Linked DNA regions of Canis lupus familiaris. The protein of the gene in region 3 interacts with the protein of the main gene of each other region in a pairwise test. Links are inferred from orthologs where the notes say so. Each region holds a gene or a part of one and is shown on either strand. Other genes may lie near its edges.

Region 1 (7,711 bases), on a different chromosome or scaffold from region 3:
GGTTCCTTTAAAAGTAAAACATTTTTAATAGTCATTTCTTCTCCTTAAACATAAAAAATACTTCAACCAGCCCAACCAGCCAAGCAGGCCTTTCTCTTCCCCTGCGGACACCTCCTGCAGTAGAGAAGTTCATTAAGTTTTATGATCTTCCCAAGTCAGTCCTGCTTATAAGCCTCACAAAGGCCACAAATCTGGCAAACCATCATGTATGCCATTAGACATTACTAGTAAATGAATGCTATTTAGGGTTTGTGGTGGCAATAAATCAGAGTTTGGTTGGCAGCTATCAACATAGAGTATTTTAACCTACCATTTAGAAAGGAAAAGGTTGTGTTGTTTTTTTTAAAATACAAAACATTTTTTTCACAATATGATTCAGATTATATACGAAAATGTTGGATTTTTCATTAGAATCTTTTTAAGCGCATTTATTTCTCAAAAAGAACCATTTTCTTCATTTGAACTCTCATAAATAAAGGCTTTGGAAAGAAGGCAGATTTGTGAGGATGGACTATTTCACAAAGGAAAGTACTTCAACAATTAAGATTAAGGTGGCCGAAAAGATGCGAGGGAATGCACCAAAATAAGTATGTAGATGAGGAGACCCTGGAGAACCAGGGATATTAAATAAGACAAAGATCGTAAAATATGGCTAAAAAAAAGTCATCAAGGGGGAAAATCTAAACATATCAACAACTACCTCGCTGGTTGCTTAGTTAGTTGAAAATAAACAAATTAAAAAAAATAGACAAATATATTGATTTTAAAGCCTATAACTCTTTAGTTGCTTTCAAAATGCATAAATATTACAACTCAATGAAAGATGACATTTCTACCCAAAAATAATTGTACGATGAATTTTACAAAAGAATACATTTTCAAGAAATAGCAAGCATCTCATAGTAAAAGTATACTTTCCCTACCTCCGAACAAGAAAATAATATAATTGTGGTAGATTACCCATTTACCTGTCAGAAAGGAAAAATATCTTTTCATATGTGGTGGAAGAGAAAAAAGAGGTTTTCCAAACTAAATCCCTCATGTGCATCAGAACTGGCTGTGTTCACTGTCTGATCAGGAACCTCAAAATCTACTGGCAGATCTATAAATACATGGAATTCTTTTTAAATGATTTTGTCTTATTTTAGGAAAAGCACAACTGAAATGACATTATCCCTTGAAGTGACAGTTTTTCCCCCCCACCTCCCCACTAGTCAACCCCCTACCCCTCCATTATGCAGAATAGAGTCATCACATAATATTCCAGTTTCTGCTACAAATAGGTAAACTTTCTCTAGATTGCAGAGAAATAATCTCTGGGTGCCACATTATAAGATTAAATAAAATGATCTAAAGGAAAACCATTATGCAATATACATATATTCTACAATGATTATTTTATAAGTTCATGATGTTTCCAAAGCACAACTGTGGGAACAGATGTGGGGAGAAAGGGGGAGGCCTGGAATTTGCTGCCCCGCGTTCTTTGCCTTGGTAACACTAATGTCTACACAGATGTTTTATTTCAAATCAAGGATACAAGGTCCAGCGTCCCTGTCTCTTTCTAAGACTAGTTTTGGAGGATGAGGTGGAGCTATGGGTGGTGGGTAGAAAGGAGAGGAGAGAAAGAGCTTCACCCCCATCAATCATATGGTACTTAAATCCTGTCCCTCTCCAGCTTAGAGAGGCAGGCAGGAAGATGCCTCTACCCAGACAGCTGCCTTTTACTCTTTGTCGGCTGTTGGCTTTTTACAAAAGAGATAACGTGCAAACTTGAATCTGCTGGCCAAAGCATAAAAAGAGGATCTAATTTACAAGTTATCACTGAAAGCCTCAGAAACAATTTTCAAAACACAAAAATTTCCTTCCTTTGTCAGCTACCTCTTCCTTTCTAAATAGCAAGAGCCCGACCGAAGCTCTCTCTGCCAGTAATCCCAGAGTCTGAAAAGACTTGTTTCTTTTTCGTAACTCACCTTTGACATTAGGCTGACTATACTTTCCTTTCAGAATAGTGTAACTAAGTCTTGTGCAAATAAGCAACTAGAGGACTTATGCCTCCTAATTGAATTCGGCCTGCTGCTAAGTGTCCAAATAAGAAAAGCAGTTTGCTGGGTTTGGTTCTCGAGCTGGCTAGGCCAAAACTTTAAAAAGGCAAAAAAATAAATACAAATAACGAGATGGGGGGTGATAGGAGAAGAATATCAATCTCCTCTCCCTAGTAATATAATGCAGTGTAAGTTGAATCAATCTTAATATTCACAACATAGTCAATACCCCAGTGCTTAGCTGTCAGCAGAAACTGAAGTGGAGCCCTGATAGCGAGAAAATCCTTGGACATTAAGCAACATAATTTACTGAGAATTGTACACTTTTAGGCTTCTAAACTAAGAATCTTCAAGATTTAATGTTTGATGTCTCATTTTATAGTCAGACAAAAATTATCTACCATTTTAAATCACAATGCTTCCTAAAGGTGGCTAAAAATCAACACAAAGTTAGTAATTTAAAATGCCTGTAGTTTTCAAAATGTAAAATGTTATCTTAAAAAGAATCACTCAGCATTTACAAACCATGAATGCTATGTGAATGAGAAGCAAGAAAACTGTTCTTTAAAGATCTCAATATTTTCTATTAATTATGGTTTCAGTATACATTTTAATAGATAGCAATAACCCATCATCTTCTCTTGATTACTTTTAGAATTAGAATAGCACTGAGTGTGAAAAATCTACTTAAAGGGATGGCAATACTCCTACCAACTAACAAGTATATTCAGTGTACTATCATTTGTACACTTGATTTAAATACAATGACATTTAATCTTTTAAAAGCATCACTTGGATATTGCTATATCCTGGATTTTAACTTTCTCTTCTCTGCCTCAACTTAAAAAACAGCAACTTTATAATACCATATAGCTACCACACACACACACACACACACACACACACAAGCACGCACCCCAGACAAATCAACAGTAAAGCTTGTTTAATGCACTTGTTTGCCATAATACAGGGCAGATAACGCCAAATCCGAACTAAAGCACCTAAATTAAATTTCTGATTCCACTTGAGTTATCACCTCAAAACTAAAATACCTTTAATTTTAAAAAGCCTAACAAGAAAATTCAATTGAAATGAACTGTCAGAGACTCATGTTTTTGTAGTTTTTATTCCAGCACTTCTGTCAAACCTGTCTTTCTCATATGTTCCCTGCACTGAACACTTCAAAAATTGTGTAACCTGCTGTGAACCTTTTTCTACTTTCTAAAACATATTAAACGTATTTACAATGTAATGACTTCAAACATAAAATTTAATGAAAGTAATAGGTGTAATACATTGTGTATGCCTAAACACATCATTACCCTTTCCTGCTTCTTAAAAGTAGCCTTTCCAACTAAAACCCTAATCCAGACATCCTCCTGGAGTCTGTTCAATTGCATCTATCTGCGGAGCTGAAGCTTACTTAGGGTGTCTAAGTAAAACAAAGTTAGGAGATGCTTCTCCCAGGGACTCGGTCCCTGGCATCCAGTCTCCCGTTGCTCCTTTTAAAAACTGACATACAAACAAGGCGAAAGGAGCGGGAGAAGGCAAGGCGGCTGGCGCTCGGCTCGTGGGGGGGGGCCCCTCCCTGCCTGCAGCCAGGGGCGGCCGCCTGGGGACAGCGACCCAGCCCCGTCCGCATCTACACTTCATTTTATACCAGGGGCGGAATTGAGAAATCGACTCCAGCAGATTTATTGCAGTTTTTCCTCAAGACCAGGAGGTGGGAAGGAGAGAATGATCAAAGATGGCGGTGCCCAAAAGCAGCAGCTCTCAACTGGAGAGTGGAAGGAGTAGCTCTGACCCCACCTCGGGGGTCTCCAGGCCCGCTGCGGGGCGCAGCCTCTTACCTGTTTTCTCTTTGATCTCACACAGGACGCTGAAGAGCGCAGGTTTCATTCTGTGACAGTTGAGAGCATGTTTCCTAAAAGACAAATCGCAACATACAAAGGTATTAGCATCACCTATGGAATAATATGGCGCCTTCCTTTAAGTTCGACCCAAGATTGAATCCCGGCCCTCTCTTTTGGAAGGCTCGCCTGGAACCAGGGCAAGTCAACAGAAACTCAAGTTGACTAGTTAGCGAAAGCCCGCAAGCTCGGGCGGCTCAAGCTCCAGCCCGTTCGAGGCGCGACCCATCCGTCCGGCGGGCGGCCGCCTCGGCGACCGCAGGGCGCGAACCCGAGCGGGGCGCCTCGACAGCCGAGCGGAGCCCTGCGCCCCGAGGGAGGGGACGGCGCGGACCGGCTCCCGCGTCCGCCCTCCGCCCTCCGCCCTCCGCAGGGGGAGCGGGCGCTGCGGCGGCGGCCGGCCGAGCGCGGCCAGCGGGCGGTGACAGCCCGGCAAAGTTTGCGAGGCGGCCCTCCCTCCCCGAGAACTTGGCCGCCCGCACCCGGACGCGCCAGGGAGCCGCCCGGCACCCCGCGCCCGCCGGGCTGGGGCGGCCGCCCGCACCGCGAGGCCGTCCGGCCGCCGAGGGACGCCCGGCGCCGCGACTCCGGGCGGGGGGAGAAAGTTGCACTTCCCGCGAGCGCGGCCCGGGGCCCTCTCGGGGCAGCGCGCGCGGGGGCCGGGCGGGAGCTTGGAGTCCGCGGGAGGGGGCCGGGCCGCGGGAGCGCCGGACGCGGGAGGCGGACCACCGGGAACCCGCGGGCACCGCGTCCGTCCCGAGCCCCGGGACCAACTTTGCCGACTCCCGCCCGCGTCGGGGGGGGCGGGCAGGGCCCCCGGCGGCCCCGGCAGGCAGGCGGCCGGTCTGCGGAGAAAGTTCCCCGCCCCCGGGGCCCCGACTCGGCCGCGGGCCCGGCTCCCGCACGCACACAAAAGATGCTTAATGAGACACCAACTTTGCTTGCGCCTCGTCCAAGCTCTGGTCGGTGATGGTCATGATCTGGTGGAGGATGTCGCCGATGTCCTGCTTCCTGCCGTCGCCGTCCGCCCCTTCGTGGCCGTGCGGGGGAGGCGGCAGGGCCATGCCCCCCTGCACCGAGTGGCCGGCCAGGTTCACCCCGGCCAGAGTCTGCAGCATCCTGGATTGATCGTCCATCCCGCCGCGCGCGGGCGGGAGCGGGCGGCGGCGGCGGCTACGGCGAAGGCTGAGGCGGCGGCGGCGGCGGCGGCGGCGGCGGCGGCGGCGGCGGCGACGAGGGAGGAGAAGAAAGAGGGGGAGGGGGAGGGGAGGGGGAGGGGGAGGCGGCCGCGCGCTCCCCGCCCGCGCGGGGAGGGGGCGGCCCGGCCGGCGGGGCTCGCGGCTGAGGCGGCGCGGACGGGCGCCCGGCTCCGGCTTCCGCCGCCGCCGAGGCTGAGGAGAAGCGCCGGGCGGAAGCGCCGGGCTCCGCGGCGGTGGCTGTGGCGGTGGCGGAGGCGGAGGCAGCGGCGCCCGCTGCCCTCACGCGGCCGCCGCGCCGCCTCCTCGCCGCCGCGCGCCCCGCCGGGCGGCCCCGCGCAACTTGCTCCTCAGAGCCCGCCGAGTTGCCGGGACGCCCGCCGCCCCCCTCCCAGCCCGCGCACTCCCCTCCCCCGGCCGCCGCCGCCGCCGCCGCCTCGGCCGGGCGGGATCCGAGCCCCGGTGGCCCCGGGGGAGGGAGCGGCGGCGGCAGGCGGCGGCGGCGGCGGCGGCGGAGGAGGAGGAGGAGGAGGAGGAGGCCGGCGGGCGGGCCGAGGGGAGCGAAGGGGGCGGAGGAGGAAAGTTTGGGAGCGGGCGGGCCGGCGCAGCGGGGCGCGGAGCCCAGTGGAGGGCCCCGGCGGGCCGCGCGCCGGGCGGACAGCAGACTGTGGGGCGGGAGGAGTCGCCGCCGCCGCTGCCGGAGCCGCGCGCCCTGCCAGCCGCCGCCGCGAACCGGGCTCGGAGGCCGCTCGACTGAGGGATTGACAGGCTGCCAGTGCCACTCACTCACTGCGGCCCCGGCGCCGGGGGGGAGGGGCGGGGGCGGGGGGGGGCGGGCAGCGCGCCGCACGCCCCGCCCCCGAGGGCGGCGCGCGCGCTCATTGGCCGCTGCGCCTCCCGCCGCCGCCGCTGGCGCCTCCCCCGAGCCGCGGCCCGGCCTCTCCGGCCTCGGGTCCCCAGCGCCCGGGAGCGCGCCGCGGTCTCCTCACGCCTGCGTGCGTCCTGGGCCCGCCAGAGCAGCCGCCCCGGCCTGCAAGCGCTCTGCCCCGCGCCCGCCCGGGCTCCTGGCCGCTGCTGTGCACAGTCCCGGGTGCGAGGAGTCGCGTACGGGACACGGGGCAAGTCGCTCCAAAGCCCCCCGTGTGCCCGCCCGCAGCGCCGCGCGCTTCACGCCTAGGGCAGCGCCTGGCACGCTTTCCCGCCCTCGCCGTCAGGAGGTGGTCCCCTCGGGGTTCCGCTGCCCGTCCCAGGCCAATCGTGCTGCGCTCGGAGCCGAACGGGGCGGGACAGAGGCAGGAACGCGCTGTCCCGATTGGAGCATTCGAACTGTCCTGGGCGGAGGCGGGGAAGCCGCGGACGGGGACCCGCCCCTCCCGGGATCACCGTAGGGACCGAGAGGGCGCCGCTCCGGGTGGGCGCTGCGCTCGGGCCCTGCGCCGTCCCTCCCGAGGTGACCAGGCGGGGCGGGAGCCCGTTGTCCCGCTTGCTGCAGGTCTGCGTCTGCTTGGAGCGGATCTGAGTGCCAGACACTTTCTCTTGAAACGGGAGCGTTGGGAAATGTGTCAGAGGGAGGTGGCTGTGGGAGGAGGGAAACGGCCTGACGTCCAGCACCAGTGCAGGCCTCGCAACAGCTCACAGTCTGCAATTCTTGATAATCCAGGGATTGCTCCTTTGGCAGGGTTTGCCTTTATTTTTATTTATTTATTTATTTATTTATTTATTTATTTATTTATTTATTTATTTATTTACTTATTTATTTACTTATTTATTTTTTTTTTTTTTTTTTTAGGGTTTGCCTTCAGCTGCCTCCAGATGGGCCAAAGTTGCGAAAACGAGCTCTTTATTACAAAGATAAGTTTACCTTACGATAGACTGGATTTCACTTATCAACCTGCCCCATCACCAGGAGTCATTTAATGTTGGGGACCCCGGCTACGGATTTTCACATCCAAAACACCTTTTCTTACATTGTTCTCTGTCTACAAATGACTAAAGACACATTATTTGGGGATCTAGACTTCCCGCTCTTGCGGTCACTTGAGCTTTCTTTTCTTTTTTATTTAAAGATTTTTATTTATTTATTCATGAGAGACACAGAGGGAGGCAGAGACACAGGCAGAGGGAGAAGCAGGCTCCATGCGGGAAGCCCGACGTGGGACGCGATCCCGGGTCTCCAGGATCACGCCCTGGGCCAAAGGCAGGCGCTAAACAGCTGAGCCACACGGGCTGCCCCTTGAGCTTTCTTTTAAACCCATTTCCCAAACAACTTCCACGTGTCTCCATTTTGAGATTCATGGAGCTCATCCTAGATGGGTCCTTTAGTTAGATGGTTCTGAAAAGTCTTGTTCCTTCCCTAAACTCAGAGGGCTGTCTTATCTGAAACCAAAAATAGGGGTATGAGATATGAAAAATGGCTCTTACTCTGCAGGGTTTAATGTAGGACAAGCAGTTCTTTACATGCCAGATGGATTCTTGGAATGAAGCAGGCTACTCGGTTCCAGGTTCTTTCCTTCATATGTTGTGTGTACTTTTAAATACTCCCCACTGCAAAGCTAATAGC
Region 2 (7,589 bases), on a different chromosome or scaffold from region 3:
CTGGGTGGTGAGGGTAAGGTTGGGAGTGGGTAGCTGGAAGGGAAAACACCGTTTGGGGTTTTATGAAAGAATTTTATTCTGGGGTTTATCATGTTTTTGAAAATAATGCTCAACTAAACCCAGGGAAAAAAGAAATTTCTTTATTTAAAACTGCATTTTTTTTTTCCTTTTCTGTGAAACTACAAGTTTACAAGTGAGGAGAGAACTGCCCCCGGCCCGTGCCTCCCACCCTCCACCCATCACCCATCTAACCTGCTCCCCTCCAGTCCTGCCTGGGTCTTTGACAGGAGAGGTTCCCCACTATGACAGTCTTATAAAATCCTGAGGATGTTTGAGGGACTCAGATGGTAGGGTTCTGGCCAAGGATGGGACACTGGTGATTTGACTTTCCCCCACACCTGGCTTTTTATGACATGCCTCCTCTCTCCCCCCACCCTCTTGATTTTAGACTGAGAAAAAAAGAATGCCTCGTTTCTGGGGAAATTGAGGGAGATACATACACAAGCACCCCAACCCACATTTAACATATTTGGCAATAACCCCCTCCCTGTTCTTCCCTCTCCAATCTGCAAATAGGTTAAAAAGAAGACTTAAAGATGTGTCACTCACAGGGGAAGGTGGCGCTTCCTCAAAATTACTGAATCCAGCCCTGCCCAAGGGTTGTGTGTTTGTGTGTGTGTGGCGGGGGGCGGGGGGGACAGGTCAACAAACCACTGGCTACCTCCATACCAAGAGCAGCAAAGAGCTGCCTGCATAAGCAAAGAACACCTAAGTGATTTGGGGGGGGGCGGGGGGCAGGCTTGGTGCCCTGCTAAGCTAAACATACTTTCTGATGGACAGGACTGGAACCAGGTGGGCCTTTTCACAAGTTCTGTTTGTTCCCCTTTCTCTTACGACCCCTTTGGCTATCACCCCTAACATGGAAAAGCAAAAAATTAAAAAAAAATCAATATATTTATAAAAACATCTACTTCCCCAAACTAAAAATTAAGAGCCAATTACAGCAATAAAAAAAAAAAAAATTAAAAAGCACAGATGGATTCCAGGGTTTCGTTTCTTTACTTAACAAAAAAAAAAAAAAAGAAAAAAGAAAAAAAAAAAATCAAGCCCTAAGCCCAGTCAACAACTCCCTAAAGTAGCAGAAACTCCCTCCGAGGTAGATATCTGAGTCAGACACTCTCGTCCACCGAACGATTCTATTGGTTTAAGATGAGCTGCGTATGAGGTAATAAAGCCATCTGGAGGGGCAGGGGGTAGGGAGGAACAGGGCTCATGGCCCGTGTCCTCTGTCCAGAAGTCATGTCCCCAGTTTTGGCATCTGGTCAGGCAGGGCTGGCTTCTCCACAGATCCCAGAGCAGGTAAGTGGGGTGGGGGAGGGGGGAGCCCAGAGAAAGAAATGGAATACAATATGGTGGGTAGAGCAAGGGGAAGGTGATCTGAACAATAGGACTCTGGGCTGCGGGGTTTATGTGAGAGAAAAAGACTGAAAAAAGGGAAGACAGACCCCACTCTCCCCTTAGGGGACCCCATTCTCCCTGCCACGTAGTTAGCACCCCCAGCACTGAGACAGTCTGGTTGGGGACAGGATGACCCCATTCGCCCTTCTCTGTCTTGTGCTTCTCCTGTGTCTGGGGTTTGTCCTCTGGATGCCTGCGTCCTCTTCAAGAGTCGCCTTGTGAGCCCCCACCCCTCTGGCCCTGAGGGGCAAGATCAGTTGGAAGTGTCAGAGTGAACGCTCCCTGGTCCCTCTGTCGGAGATGTCACTGAGGACGGGGTTACAGCCTCCTGCCAGCCACCGTTGGCCTAAAAAAAGAGAGAGTTGGTTGGGGCAGGGCTCTGGGAGATTCAGTGTGGGAGACAAGGCCACCAGGGGAAAGGCCCTCCTGTCTGGGTGAGAGGTAGACAGAGGGAGCATCGGGTATCCACTCACTCTCATTTCCCGAGGGCTGTACATCTGGCCTCCCGCAAGGTTATCCCCGTAGCCCCCTGGCCCCATTGAGTGTCGCAGTGATTCCACCTGCAGGCAGCAAAGAAGGGTATGACACTGTGAGGCGTCTTATATTCTGAAGAGCAGGCAAGAGTTTGGGAAAGCCCCAATGGAGGGGACATGGGCCACCTGACCTGGGAAGCAGAGTAGGAATCTCCGTTGAGCCCCGGCATCCCCAGAAACATGTCTCCGGATCCTGAGAGATTGAAAGAGCCGCCAGAGCCTTGGGAGAACAGAGAGGGAATTAGGGAAGAGTGTAACAACCTGTGACAGCAGACAGAAGGCTCACTACAGTGCTGTTTCCAAGAAGCCCTCAGAACTATTTCTAAGGGGGTGCCACTATATGCAATTTATTCCTAAGGCACTACAACAAGGAGGAGCAGGCTGTTTCTGAGCCTCTCCTGTGGCTCCCCGGCCACTTGCTGGAGGACAGAAGTAGCTTCGCTGGGATGGCCTTTACCTCCTGACATCTCCACCCCACCTCAGCTAGGTCCCTCTCACCCCAAAAGGCCCCTACTCTGCTGAGATCCTGCCTAGATAGGAAGTGGGAACAAAGGCAGGAAGCGTGCAAGATAGCCAGGATGACAGTGGGGTCCACCTGCAGAGGAAGGGGGTGTCGGGGAGCTGGTGCGGCTGTGACCCCCCTGGGTGACTGACACGGCGGTCTTGACGGCATAGATGTTTGCCTCCTCTTGGAACTTTCCAATATTTTTCTTATAGCGAATCCGTTTGTTGCCAAACCAGTTGGAGACCTGTTGGGTGTTGAGCATAAAGGAGGGTCAGGTGCAGACCTTTCCCCCCACCAGCCTCTCAGTTAGAATCAGAGAGCTTTTGACCTGAACCCCACTGCTCCTGCAAGCCTCCCCAGTACCTGAGAGACAGTGATTCCGCACTTCTTGGCAAGCTCCTCCTTAGCCTCCTCACTAGGATATGGGTTACTCAGGTGGGAGTAGAAATACTCATTGAGGACCTCAGTGGCCTGTTTGCTGAAGTTGCGGCGTTTTCGTCTACAGAGGAGGGAGCATGGTGGTGAGAAGGCCAGCTGTCCTGGCAGGGCCTCCATCTCGCATCATTCTAGAGGGGGCCATTGCCATGGAGCGCCATGTTGTGTCACATGGTGGCCCAGGGGCTTGGGGGAACCCTGGGTCAGGGGCTCGCCTGGGCACCCGAGCCCCACCTGGCATCCAAGAAGCGGGAACGCAGGATCATGACAGCCTCACAGGTGCTCTGCTTGAGCTGCATCTGGATGGCACTGAACTTGCGATGGATGATGCTCACCATGCGCTCCATCTCCTTGGGTGCCACAGGCCGTGTGCGACTCTGCTCCCTCAGCAGGTTCATGACGTGGGTCGTGAACTCGTTACAGGCCTGCAGCAGGGGGCCCGTGGGCTGTGAGGAGCCTTGGGATTCCCCATTAGGAGCCTCTCCTCTCACCCACTCCAGCCTCATCTCCTAACCTGCTCATACTTCTCCAGCTCTGAGTGGTAGATGTGGCGGATCTGGGCAAGTTTGCTGCGGTAGTCGGAGTGCTCAATGGAGTTGTCAGGGGACACGCCGCCCCCGGAGGCTGCAGCAGCTGCAGCAGCTGCGGCTGAGCCCCCCCCTTTCTCCGGTCCAGCCACACCCTCTGCCAGAAGCATGTTGTCCAGGCGCATGAGCTGTGGGTCCACCGGCTCCTCCTCTTGGGAGCTTCGGATGCTGAGGCCTAGCAGGCAGGTGAGTGAACTCAGGGACCAGGGAGCCCATGGCCAGCTCTCAGCCCACCTGGTGGCTCCTGGAGACCCATGTTCCCAGGCTCTGGTTCCCTTCCCAGTTCCTCCTAGCATCTTACCTAACCCCTACTGTCCTCAGGGCCCCAAGATGTCAAACTCTTGGCCTGACTCCTATAAAGAACAGGGTTCAGTCCCCAGAGGTGAGGAGTCAGAGGGGGACCCACGTACCGGTTTTCTCCTTGATTTCACACAGAACACTAAAGAGAGCAGGCTTCATGCGGTGGCAGTTGAGGGCGTGTTTCCTTGGGAGGAAGGGGAGAACAGTTGAGGGTCAATAGAAACAGAGATGGGGTGGGGTTGGGGAGACCATGAAGGTGAGAAAGAGGGCAGCCCGGAACGAGAAGGGAGGTAGAAAGTGGGGGTGGGGGCAGGATGGAGTTGGGGGCTTCTTGGAAAGAGGTCAGCTCCTGGAATGTGGAGATGTGGGGGCTGTTTGGCTTTAGGAAGGTGCAGGCAGCAAGATAAAGGCCCCATGGGCTTGAACGGGGCCCTGGGAAATGGGTCTAGAAGGGGAGTCTGGGGGTGACTGCCGACATGAGGGTGACTAGGTAGATTTCAGAGGAAAAGAGACAGAGACTGGGAGAAGAGTCGGAGTTTGAGGTGCCAGAGAGGGGCTGGAGAAGTTCAACATAGGTGTGAGCGGAGGGTCCTGGGACTGAGGAAGCCAGGAGGCTCTGATGATCCCAGTCTGGCTGAGCAGGGGCCACGGGCTGGGTGGGGACACATGGATGCTGGGTCATGGTGGAGAGGAGTGGTAGGAGCTTTGGGGAGGGCTGAGGTCTGGAGAGGATGGGGTGGGGGTGGGCTGGATGGAGAGTTAGGAAGACAGCATAGCAATTTCTTAATCAGAGAGCCAGAACAGGGCTCTGGAGATGGAAAAGATGTTCCAGGGGAGTATGGGGGTCAGTGAGGGGTTGGGGATGGGGTTGCGGTGAGACCACCCTGGGTTCCCTTCTTTGAAGGCTTCAGGGCCTGGTGGTGAAGGGGGGTTTGAGAGGGATGGCTCATCTTGGGGCTCCCAGGAGTAAGGAGAGAAGAAGCTGTAGGATCCTGGAGGGGGTCCTGGAGTGGGGGGTGGGGGTGGGGACTCCCAGAAGATTCTTGTGAATGGGGCTTCTGTTGGGTCTGTGTAGGGTCCCGGGGTGGGGGCACTCACTTGGCCTGGGCCTCGTCCAGGCTCTGGTCGGTGATGGTCATTATCTGCTGCAGAATGTCCCCGATGTCTTGCTTCCCTCGGCCTCCCGGGACCCCCCCGCTACCCCCACCGGGGTCTCCGCCGCCGGGAGGCTCGCCAGGGCCCCCGGGCTCCCCACCCACCAATCCCAGGCCCCCGCGGCCCCCGCCCGGAGGGGGCGGCCCCAGCAGCCGCTCGTCCATAGTTGGGGGGGGGCCCTGAGGCCCCCTCCCTGCTCCGCCCCTCCCCCCGCCTAGTTACTTCCCCACCCCCAAACTCGGTGGGGCCGCTGCTCCCTCCGCCCTAACCCCCACCCGTTCCCCCCTCCCGGCTCCCCCGGGGGTTCACCCCCACCCCGAAGGGAGACCTGGGGTACCGGCTGGGCCCCCCACAGGAGACCCCGGCCCCCGGCGGCGGAGAAAATGGAGCCGGAGAGAGAGAGGAGGCCCAAGCGGGGGTGTGTGTGAGCGAGAGAGGGAGGAGGGAGGAGGGCGGAGGGGGGGAGCGAGGGAGGGAGGCTGGGGGAGGGGAGCCGGGGAGGAAGAGGAGGGGAGAAGAGAGGAGGAACGGGGAGGAGCTGGGGGCGGAGAGAGACACACAGAAACCGAGGAACTGGGACCGAGTGGAGGAGGGGAGAGGGACGAGGGGGCGAGGGGAGGAGGCTGGAGGCCGGGGGAGAGGAGCGGAGGCCGGGGCGGGAGGGCGGCGCGGGTCGGGGCTGGGGGGCCGCCGCCGGGGCTCCGAGTCGGGGTTCCAGGTGCCGTGGACTCCGGCCGCTAGAATGCCCGGGTTCGCAGACAGTTCCGTTCATATTTCTTGTCCTAATGACTCCCCTCCCTGTTATACTTAATTAAAACCAGGAAAGGGGGGCTGGGGGGGTATAATTAGGGAAGTCTCCAGCCGCTGCTTAATGAGCCAGTAATTAACCAGCCAGGGAGGGGAGCTGGCCTCTCGCCAGGCTAGGGAGAGAGGCGGCCTCTGGCCTCACCTTCCTGCCCCCCCCGTACCCCTCCCCCACAGCCCTCAACACCAGTCTTCTTTTAGTCCAGAGGATAATTACGTTTATTCGTACAACCAGAACATCAGACTCGAGCAGCAGTGGGGAGGCGGGGTGGGCAGTGCTAAGTGTCGGTTCACAGCCTGTAGGCCCCTCAGTCCTGGGGGCTGGGGGTGCTGGTGGTAGGGTGGGAGGATGGTCTGTCTCTTTTGCAATGCCCTGTCTCCCTTCTTAATGTGTCTCAAGGCCCTAACCTTGGGAGATTTGCCTTTTCTAGGGAGATGGAGGCCTGAGCCCTCAGATTCTGCCTTATGGGTGTCTGACTGGGGTGTCTCCACAGCTCAGGACCAAGACTTCCAGCCACTTCTTGGGATCAGAGGAGGGGGTGTCCCTCAGTGGCTAGGATCCTCTCACCTCTTCAAACTGCCGTGTACTGGCGAAGGGAGTCAAATGACCATCCTACCTTGACTATTCCCAGGGTTTGTGGACTTTTACCCCCTCTATTCCCCAGAAAGGTGGATGAGGGTGATGAATATTGAGATTTCTCCCAGGTCCTTCAGTCTCTGGCGCCCCTGCCAAGCAGGAGAAGAGGGCATGCAATGGGCTGCCCAGCTTTGAGCCCCAGGAGTGCGGAGTGCCTGGTGGGGGGGAGGGGCTCAAGTCTCAGCAGGTATGTGTGGGGGGCCGAGACCTTTGCTCCTCCATTCGACCCCCACCCTGAACTCTCAGCAGCAACTCCAGGAGCTCCTGTCCCCCTGGGGGTAGGGGAGGCTCTGACCGCTGGGCTTCCATCCGCTGGCTCTGGAGTAGAGGGAAGGGAGGTTGTCGGTAATATTTTAAGAGGAATAGGCCCTGAAAGGAGCCAAGGCTGATGAAAGGGGTCTATAGGGCACCTGTGATGGGGATGGAGGGGATCAGGCCTGGCAAAGGGGTGGATGCTGGGGAAATGAGGAGTAGGGCCCAAAAGACAACAAGGGCCAACGAACTGGCAAGCCTGGGTCTTGCCTTCTGGGGAGGCGTCTCACCTGGTGACTGAGGATAGTGCTGTAGAGCTGTTCTCTCTCCTCAAGAGGCCGAAGTGGGGCTGGGGCTATGCTTGGGGGGTTCTGGGGGATGTGGAAGGTGGCTCTTTGCTCCTCTAGGCGGCGGGACTGGGCCTCAGCCACCAAATCCAGAAGGAGCTCAGTCTGTAGGGAGAGCAGGGAGGCGGAGCAGGGCCCCAGGGCTGGGGAAAGGAAGGGTAGGGCTCAGAGACCCAGAGAAATTGGCAGACAGGAGGGGTGGTGGTGCAAGGTGATTAGGAACTTGTGGTCAGAGCTGAGGGGGAGTAGTGGGGAGTTAGGAGATGGAGAGAGGGCCCACGATGGGAATGGCCTTGGTAATGGGATCAGGAAGGATGTGGGCACCAAGGTCAGGGAGCTCCCTGGCCGGGTGAGGGTACCTGTGTGGCGGGTCCCTGGAGGAGGAGGGGACGGAGGAGCAGATCGCCAAGGCCTAGTGGTGGCATTCACAGGGGGCCAGTCCTGCTCATCCTGATGGGGGCCTTGATGCTGGGAGACATCCGGTCCAGTCAGGCGGGGGAGTGGTGGGCCAACAGCCCATTTCCTCTCTCTGTGTCTCTGTTCCTGCCTCAGTTTGCCCAAGCCCTTCCAAGTCCC
Region 3 (7,156 bases):
AGGCACAAGGACGGAAAGAGCCTCACTTTTAATAGCTAAGCGCTTTCCCTTGATGTGGAAAAGTCCTTGTCCACGGTGCTTTGAACATTTACTGTTCTGCAGTATAGATGTGCCCCATTCACTTGGCCACTCCTCTGAAGTTGGACTTTAGGATTCTCTTTTTTCACAATCATTTAAACACACACACACACACACACACACACACACACACCCTGGAATTTTTTTTTTTTTTTTTTTTTGGAATAAATCTTTTAAGGCTCTTTCAGATTTCCCTCCTGAAAGGTTGTGTTTGATTGGGCTTTTGTTAGCTGCTTCAGTGTTTTGTGTTTATGAGAGAGAGAGAAAGAGAGAGAGAGGGAGAGAGAGAGATCTCCCAGGCCCACGGCACCGTCTACGGGCAGTGGGACGCAGGTATTCATGCACAGCTGGACCATCCGAGAGGCAAGGGCGGTGCTAGGGCCTACACTGCAGGGCTCCCCCCTTGGCTTGCACCCACCCCCGGCTGTCAGGGCGGGGTTCATGCCAGGTTGCAGGCTCTCAGGGTACATGCGGATAAGCCCCTTCCCTTGAGTGCCTGCACCCGGCTTCTTCCTCGAGGGACGGGGTTGTGGCAGCCGGGGGTGGGTAGGTGGGTCCTGGTCCTGAGGAGTTCAGGGGGCTGGTGATCTGCTCATGGGTAATTATAAGGTTCCTGCAGCAATTTGAGATTTCTTTCTGTAAACCGAATTCCTTATGTTTAAGGATTTAGATACCTTTCACCTAAGTTAGGAATCAAGTAGCTAGTTTAAAGCAACTTAACTGATAATATCTTTTAATACTGTTTCTTTAAACACAGCTGTCTTTGCCTTCTGAATATGACTTTTTTCCTCAAAATTTGTATAGCTTATGTATTCCTGAAATTAAAGAGTAGATGGGGAGAATTTCAGCCCTGTCCTGAATAGAATGTAGGGTCTGAGTGGTTTCTGTCACAAGAGTTTGAGCTATTTGTGTGTATTTCTCTTACTGCAGTGTTAGTGTGAGGATCTAGAGAGAGATTATTTGTGTGCCACTTGCCTTCAGCACTGTGTCGTAGTATATTTTTGAAAATCATAAGCATTTCTCGGATACTGGTCCTCTCGGTTTTCAAGATAATTTGGAAATTTGACCTTTGTTGTAGCCATTTTCAAAGCCTATTAAATTCAAAGGAGTTTTGTTGGTAGCATTTTTATGTACTATTGCCAGTCATCCCGCTGTGTAGCAATTTACCATTTCTGTTGCATTTGTTTCTGTTTGAGAATAGAGTACGTAGTAGCAGTTTATGTTGTGTTTAGTAACCAAATTCTCCTCCTCCCTTCACAGATGCAAGTAGTAACAGAGTTAAAAACGGAGCAAGATCCCAACTGCTCTGAACCTGATGTGGAAGGAGTGAGCCCTCCACCCGTGGGGTCCCAGACGCCAATGGATGCAGACAAGCAGGCCATTTATAGGTAGCAATGAGATGTGATGCATGTGGGTTTTTAGCAGGAATAACAGGAGTAGAGAACCTTGTTAAATGGAATATACTAGAACTATTAGGTAGGCAGGGTAGGGAAGTAGGTGATAACCACTGGAGTGAGAAGTTTGTCAAGTTAAGATGTTACTCCTAATACCTTAAAAGCTTTGGAATAGAAATCTATGTTTTAGTCAATCTTGTAAAAAGAAACCTTTAGGCCAGGGTAGTTTTACTGGAGAATCCCGTAAAGGAAGAGAGAATGCTTCCCAATACATCACTCTGGTACTAAAGCCAGATAAAGACAATACAAAAAAGAAAAATACACACCGGTGTGCCTCATGAACTTAAGCATAAAAATCACTAATCAAATATTAAATCCAGCAGCACATAGAAAGAATAACATACACTGACCAAGTGGAATCTATCCCACGAACTCAAAACTGATTCACTAGTCAAACAGTCAACCAGTGAGGCCCACAACATGATCATACCAAATGACACAGGAAAGCATTTGACAAAAGTCAGCAGCTAATTATGATTAAAAACTGTCAGCAGAGTGGCAATAGAGGAAAACTTCCCTGACCTGATGAAAGGCAACCTCAAAAGGTCTATAGTTCTCATCATAGTTAATGGCCAAAGACTGTTTTCCTCCGAGCTTGGGCATAAGCAGAGATGTCCACCCTGACTCAACCCATTCACACCGCCGTAATGAAAGTCCTAGCCAGTGCAGTAAGGCACTTTTCTTACTTATAGAAAAGGGATACCAGATTAGAAAGGAAGAAATAAAACTGGCTCTGTGTACAAACAACATAATTGTCTATGTAGAAAATCCCAAGGATTACCGAAAAACTCCCAGAACTACTTAAGTAAGTTTAATAAGGTCACAGATTACAAGAGCTACCAATCCCATTTCTTTCTTTCTTTTTTTTTTTAAGATTTTATTTATTTATTCATGAGAGAGACACACACAGAGAGCGAGGCAGAGACACAGGCAGAGGGAGAAGCAGGCTCCATGCAGGGAGCCCGACATGGGACTCAATCCCGGGTCTCCAGGATCACACCCCGGGCTGCAGGTGGCACTAAACTGCTGTGCCACTGGGGCTGCCCACCAATCCCATTTCTATATGAGTGATATACAATTAGAAGCTGAAATTTAAAAAGACAATACTATTTACAAAAGCTCCAAAAAATTTAGGTATAAATCTAACAAAACACAGAAACTTTATGCTGAAAAACTAGAATGCCAATGCAACAATCAAAGAAAACCTATATTAATGGTGAGACACACCATATTCATGGTTTGAAAGGGTCAACATAGTAAAGATGTCCTTTCTCTTAAAATTGACTTGTAGATTTACCACAATTCCAATTAAAGCCTTAGCAGGATATTTTTGTACATATGGACGAGTTAATTCTAATTTTATACGGAAGGCAAAAGAGCTAGACTTGCTAAAACAGCGTTGAAAACAAAGAACAAAGTTGGATTTTGAGATGTACTATGTATGGTATTACAGTAACGAGGACGTGGTGATGGTGGTGAAGGCATAGGATCAGTGTCACTGATAGAGTCCAGAAGTAGATGTACAAAAACATGATTTATTTGATCTTTGACCAAGGCACAAACACAGTTTCTTGGAGTAGAGGTAGAGTTTCCAACAAGCGGTGTTGGAACAATTAGACATTCATATGCTAAAGGAAGATCCTTGACCTAATCTCACATTTTATATGGAAGTTTACTCAAAATGGAGTATAGATCTATTTTTTAAAAAAAAGATTTTATTTATTTATTCATGAGAGACACAGAGAGAGAGAGGCAGAGACACAGGCAGAGAATCAGGCTCCATGCAGGGAGCTCGATGCAGGATTCGATCCTGGGACTCCAGGATCACACCGTGGGCCCAGAGCAGGCGCTTAACCGCTGAGCCACCCAGGCATCCCTGGAGTATAGATCTAAACATAAAATTTAAAACTACATAAAACTGATCTGTCCACACAGTAAAATATTATTCAGCCACAAAAAGGAACAAAGTATTGGGTGAGCCTGGGAAACACCACGCTAAGGAAGCTAGATGCCAAAGGGCACGTGTGGTATAATTCCGTTTATACGAGATGTCTAGAACTGGCAAATCTGTAGGACAAAGTCGGTAGTGGTGGCCTGGGGCTGGGCTTTGGGGGAAAATGGGCAGTGACTGCTCATGGCTACCAGGTTTCTTTTGGGGGAGGATGAAAAAGCTGCAGAATTGACCTTGGTGATGGTTGCAGCGCTCTGTGAACAGAGTAGACACCATTGGATTGTACACTGTAAGCAGATAAATTGTAGCACGTGAACTGTGTCTCAACAAAGCTGTTACACTAACGAATGCGTACATACATGCTAAAATATTCTCGTGCAAATGTAGAACATATATTTTACATTTTTTCCCCCCAGGCATCCACTATTTCCATTATTAGCTTTGTTGTTTGAAAAATGTGAACAATCTACACAGGGCTCAGAAGGCACAACTTCTGCCAGTTTTGACGTAGATATTGAAAATTTTGTAAGGAAGCAAGAGAAGGAAGGAAAACCTTTCTTCTGTGAAGATCCGGAAACTGACAATTTAGTAAGTAAAATATGTGTTTTATTCTTATTTTTTTACTTCTTCCAAATTTAAGATCCATTCAATAAATTTTAAACTTCAAAGTAGGACTTTAGAATGTAGTTCTGCTAAAGGGGAGAAAGTTCATGAAATAACTTCCTGTGTGTGTGACCTGTCCCCACGTCTTCCAGCCTTCTCTGGTGACCTTTACTGTAGGGATCAAAGGAGATCATCTAAGCCTGCATCACAGAGGGACTGAGGATTCAGTTCTTTTGTAAATATTTGTGAAGTTTGTTGGGGTTGGTGTGCTTACGTGCCCTGCGTCTCGGGCATGTGTGTGCCCCACTCCTGTTCTTGGCTTTTCCCTGATCGTGGCCACACAACCTTATTGTCCAGGACAGACCTTTAGCTCTGTCTTAGGCTGGCAGTAAGGTGTGGTGGGCCACAAGGCTGATGCAGGCACAGAGCCGGCCAGGCTTAACAAAGGGCCCCCACACTTCTCACCGCGTCCCCTGGCCTTTCTGCCTCACGTGGTGGGTGCCCTCCTCCCTGCCTCGGGAGGTTCGGGGTTCCCTGTGCTGTCTAAAGGAACTGCAGAATTTGTCAGAGTTAACATCCCTGCTGCACCCAAAGGAGCACTGCCCTTCTGTGCCAGTGGAGCACGTTAGCCTGCGTTGGGGGGACACGCCCCTTCCCTGGGTTTCCTTTACCGCCTGCTAAGCCCCAGCCCAAAACCTTAGGGCCCTTATCAGCAGAAAAGCATCTTTAGAAAACTTTTTCCTGAATAAATGTCTCGGATCTTTGTTGTTTGTATGTATGTGTATATGTATTTATTTTTAAGATTTTATTTATTTATTCATGAGAGACACACAGAGAGGCAGAGACATAGGCAGAGGGAGAAGCAGGCTCCCTGCGGAGAGCCCGATGTGGGACTGGATCCCGGGACCCCAGGGTCACGCCTTGGGCCGAAGGCAGGCGCTCAACCGCTGAGCCACCAGGCATCCCCCTTTGTTGTTTTTTAATTTCTCATTATACGTTCAACTCTTGGTGCCTAGTGGGCTTTACCAATGCGCTGTCTGAGCTGGAGTCAGCTTCCTCAGCTTTGACCTGGGTCCAACAGTGCCCGCCCTGTGGGGTGAGCAGCAGGAGCTGTCCCCGCCTCTGGATCTCTGGTCCTCAGCCAGCAGTGTGTGGGCCGCGGGTGTAGCCGGAGGGACCCAGGCTCTTCTGACTGGCGTTCCAGCACAGGGCCTAGCAGAGCTGGGCACCCAGTCACTCGCTCTGGTGACCGATGGACTGGTTCGTTCCACAGCACCTACGGATTACTGCCTCCAGGGTCACAGGGAAGGAGCTGGGCGTTGGGTTGTGGATTCACAGGCCTGTAGTGCTTATTATTACAGACCCTTACCTACTGCGGTGGGCCGGGTTACTCTGAAACTTAGTAAAGTCACCATAAAACCTTTGTAAAAATCTTAAAAGGGCTGATCTAGTGCTGGGGGCAGAGTTCTTAGGCTTGACACCGAAAGCACAGGCCATAGAAGGCAGAGCAGGTAAATTAAGTTTTATCAAAATTAAGAGCCGCCTGTGAGATGGGTACGGATTCCTCCCCATTTACAGGTGAAGAAACCGGAGCAGAGGGAGGGGGACCTTGCTCTTTGTGTAGCAGGTCAGTGGGGCCGAGTCGAGGCCCGGCTGCCTCCGGGTGCTGTGACTCCCCAAGGACGGCACGGGGACCATCTGTGTCCCCACACGCCAGATGCAGCGAAAGTGCCAAAGGTCTGTGGCGCTGGGGTGACTCGTCGTCTTGCCTGGTTTCTGACGGGATTCCCCTCCCGTCGGGGGCTGCGCGGCAGTCAGGCCAATACCCGACAGTAGTTAGGTGCCGAGGATTATAATTTACCCTTAAGCTGTCATTTCCTTGTCTGAACGCCTTCATTTTCTCTGCTTCTAGATGGTCAAAGCGATCCAGGTTTTACGTATTCATCTTCTTGAGCTGGAAAAGGTTAATGAACTGTGCAAAGATTTCTGCAGTCGCTACATTGCTTGTCTAAAAACGAAAATGAACAGTGAGACTCTCCTGAGCGGAGAACCTGGAAGCCCGTACTCCCCTGTCCAGTCCCAGGTATCTATGTGGGTCCTGCTGAGCTTCGGGGTGACTGTACGATCTGCACGGGTGACGGGTGCTGTCCTCTGAGACCAGTAGCCCTGTCAGAGCCCCGGGCTGTCTTAGGGCCAACCTCCAGCCAGGAGGACAGGCCCTCGAGGCGTCGTGCAATAAGTGGGGTGAGGCCTCGACTTGTGTACCAGACCCTGGATCCCACCTTTCTGGAGGATGGACTGCCATTCACTGCTTTCCTTTTTCTTTGGAATATGGTTTTTGTTATTTCTTAAAATTGTGGTAAAATACATGTCATAAAACGTAGCATCTTAATCATTTTTAAGTGTACAGTTCGGTGGCATTAAGCATCTTCCCGCTGCTGTGCAAACCATCGTCACCATCCATCTCCAGAGCTTTCCATCTTCGTAGACTGAAATGCTGTCCTCATTAAATGCTGACTCTCCACCTTCCCTCCCCCGCCCCTGGCCCCTACATTCTACTTGCTGTCTCTGTGAGTTTGATTAGTCTACGTACCTCATGTAGGGGATCGTACCGTATTTGTCCTTTTGTGTTTGACACGATGTCCTCAGGGTTCATCCGTTTTGAAGCACTATTATACTTGAGCCATTCTGTGGTACGTAGTGACACTCGTGGTTGTAGTGTGCGGTTCTCCGATGGCTAATGGTGTTGACCTTCTTTTCATGAGCATGTTTGCCATCGGTGGATCCTCCTTGGTAGAATGCCTGTTCATGTCTTTAGCTCATTTTCCTTCTTTTTCTTTCTTTCTTTCTTTCTTTCCTTTTTTTTTTTTTTAAGAATCTTCTTTTTTTTAAATTTTATTTATTTGTTTATTTGTGAAAGACAGAGAGAGAGGCAGACACAGGCAGAGGGAGAAGCAGGACCCATGCAGGGAGCCCGACATGGGACTCGATCCCAGGTCTCCAGGATCACGCCCTGGGCTGAAGGCGGCGCTAAACCGCTGAGCCACCCGGGCTGCCCTAAGTACCTGTC

Evidence for each region.
Region 1: the proteins of homeobox protein PKNOX1 (region 3) and PBX3 interact in a two-hybrid assay, tested with the Homo sapiens proteins (2 studies listed by BioGRID and IntAct). The link is inferred for Canis lupus familiaris from reciprocal best matches to the Homo sapiens genes PKNOX1 and PBX3.
Region 2: the proteins of homeobox protein PKNOX1 (region 3) and PBX2 interact in binary tests that used the Homo sapiens proteins (3 or more experiments, as listed by UniProt). The link is inferred for Canis lupus familiaris from reciprocal best matches to the Homo sapiens genes PKNOX1 and PBX2.

The regions. Positions count from the first base shown.
Region 1 is NC_049230.1:57,497,181-57,504,891, forward strand, and holds the start of PBX3 (pre-B-cell leukemia transcription factor 3), read right to left. Parts: upstream 5,153-7,711; 5' UTR 5,092-5,152; coding exon 4,892-5,091; intron 4,592-4,891; exon of another isoform or gene 4,500-4,591; intron 3,970-4,499; coding exon 3,896-3,969; intron 1-3,895. UniProt on the Homo sapiens protein: Transcriptional activator that binds the sequence 5'-ATCAATCAA-3'.
Region 2 is NC_049233.1:1,710,690-1,718,278, forward strand, and holds PBX2 (pre-B-cell leukemia transcription factor 2), read right to left. Parts: upstream 5,153-7,589; 5' UTR 5,138-5,152; coding exon 4,917-5,137; intron 4,003-4,916; coding exon 3,929-4,002; intron 3,694-3,928; coding exon 3,446-3,693; intron 3,357-3,445; coding exon 3,166-3,356; intron 2,996-3,165; coding exon 2,860-2,995; intron 2,741-2,859; coding exon 2,587-2,740; intron 2,212-2,586; coding exon 2,123-2,211; intron 2,019-2,122; coding exon 1,932-2,018; intron 1,805-1,931; coding exon 1,712-1,804; 3' UTR 125-1,711; downstream 1-124. Other genes in the region: GPSM3 (G-protein-signaling modulator 3), read right to left, coding at 6,595-6,732, 6,957-7,156, 7,373-7,494. UniProt on the Homo sapiens protein: Transcriptional activator that binds the sequence 5'-ATCAATCAA-3'. Activates transcription of PF4 in complex with MEIS1.
Region 3 is NC_049252.1:37,081,043-37,088,198, forward strand, and holds part of homeobox protein PKNOX1, read left to right. Parts: intron 1-1,338; coding exon 1,339-1,466; intron 1,467-3,899; coding exon 3,900-4,071; intron 4,072-5,998; coding exon 5,999-6,169; intron 6,170-7,156. UniProt on the Homo sapiens protein: Activates transcription in the presence of PBX1A and HOXA1.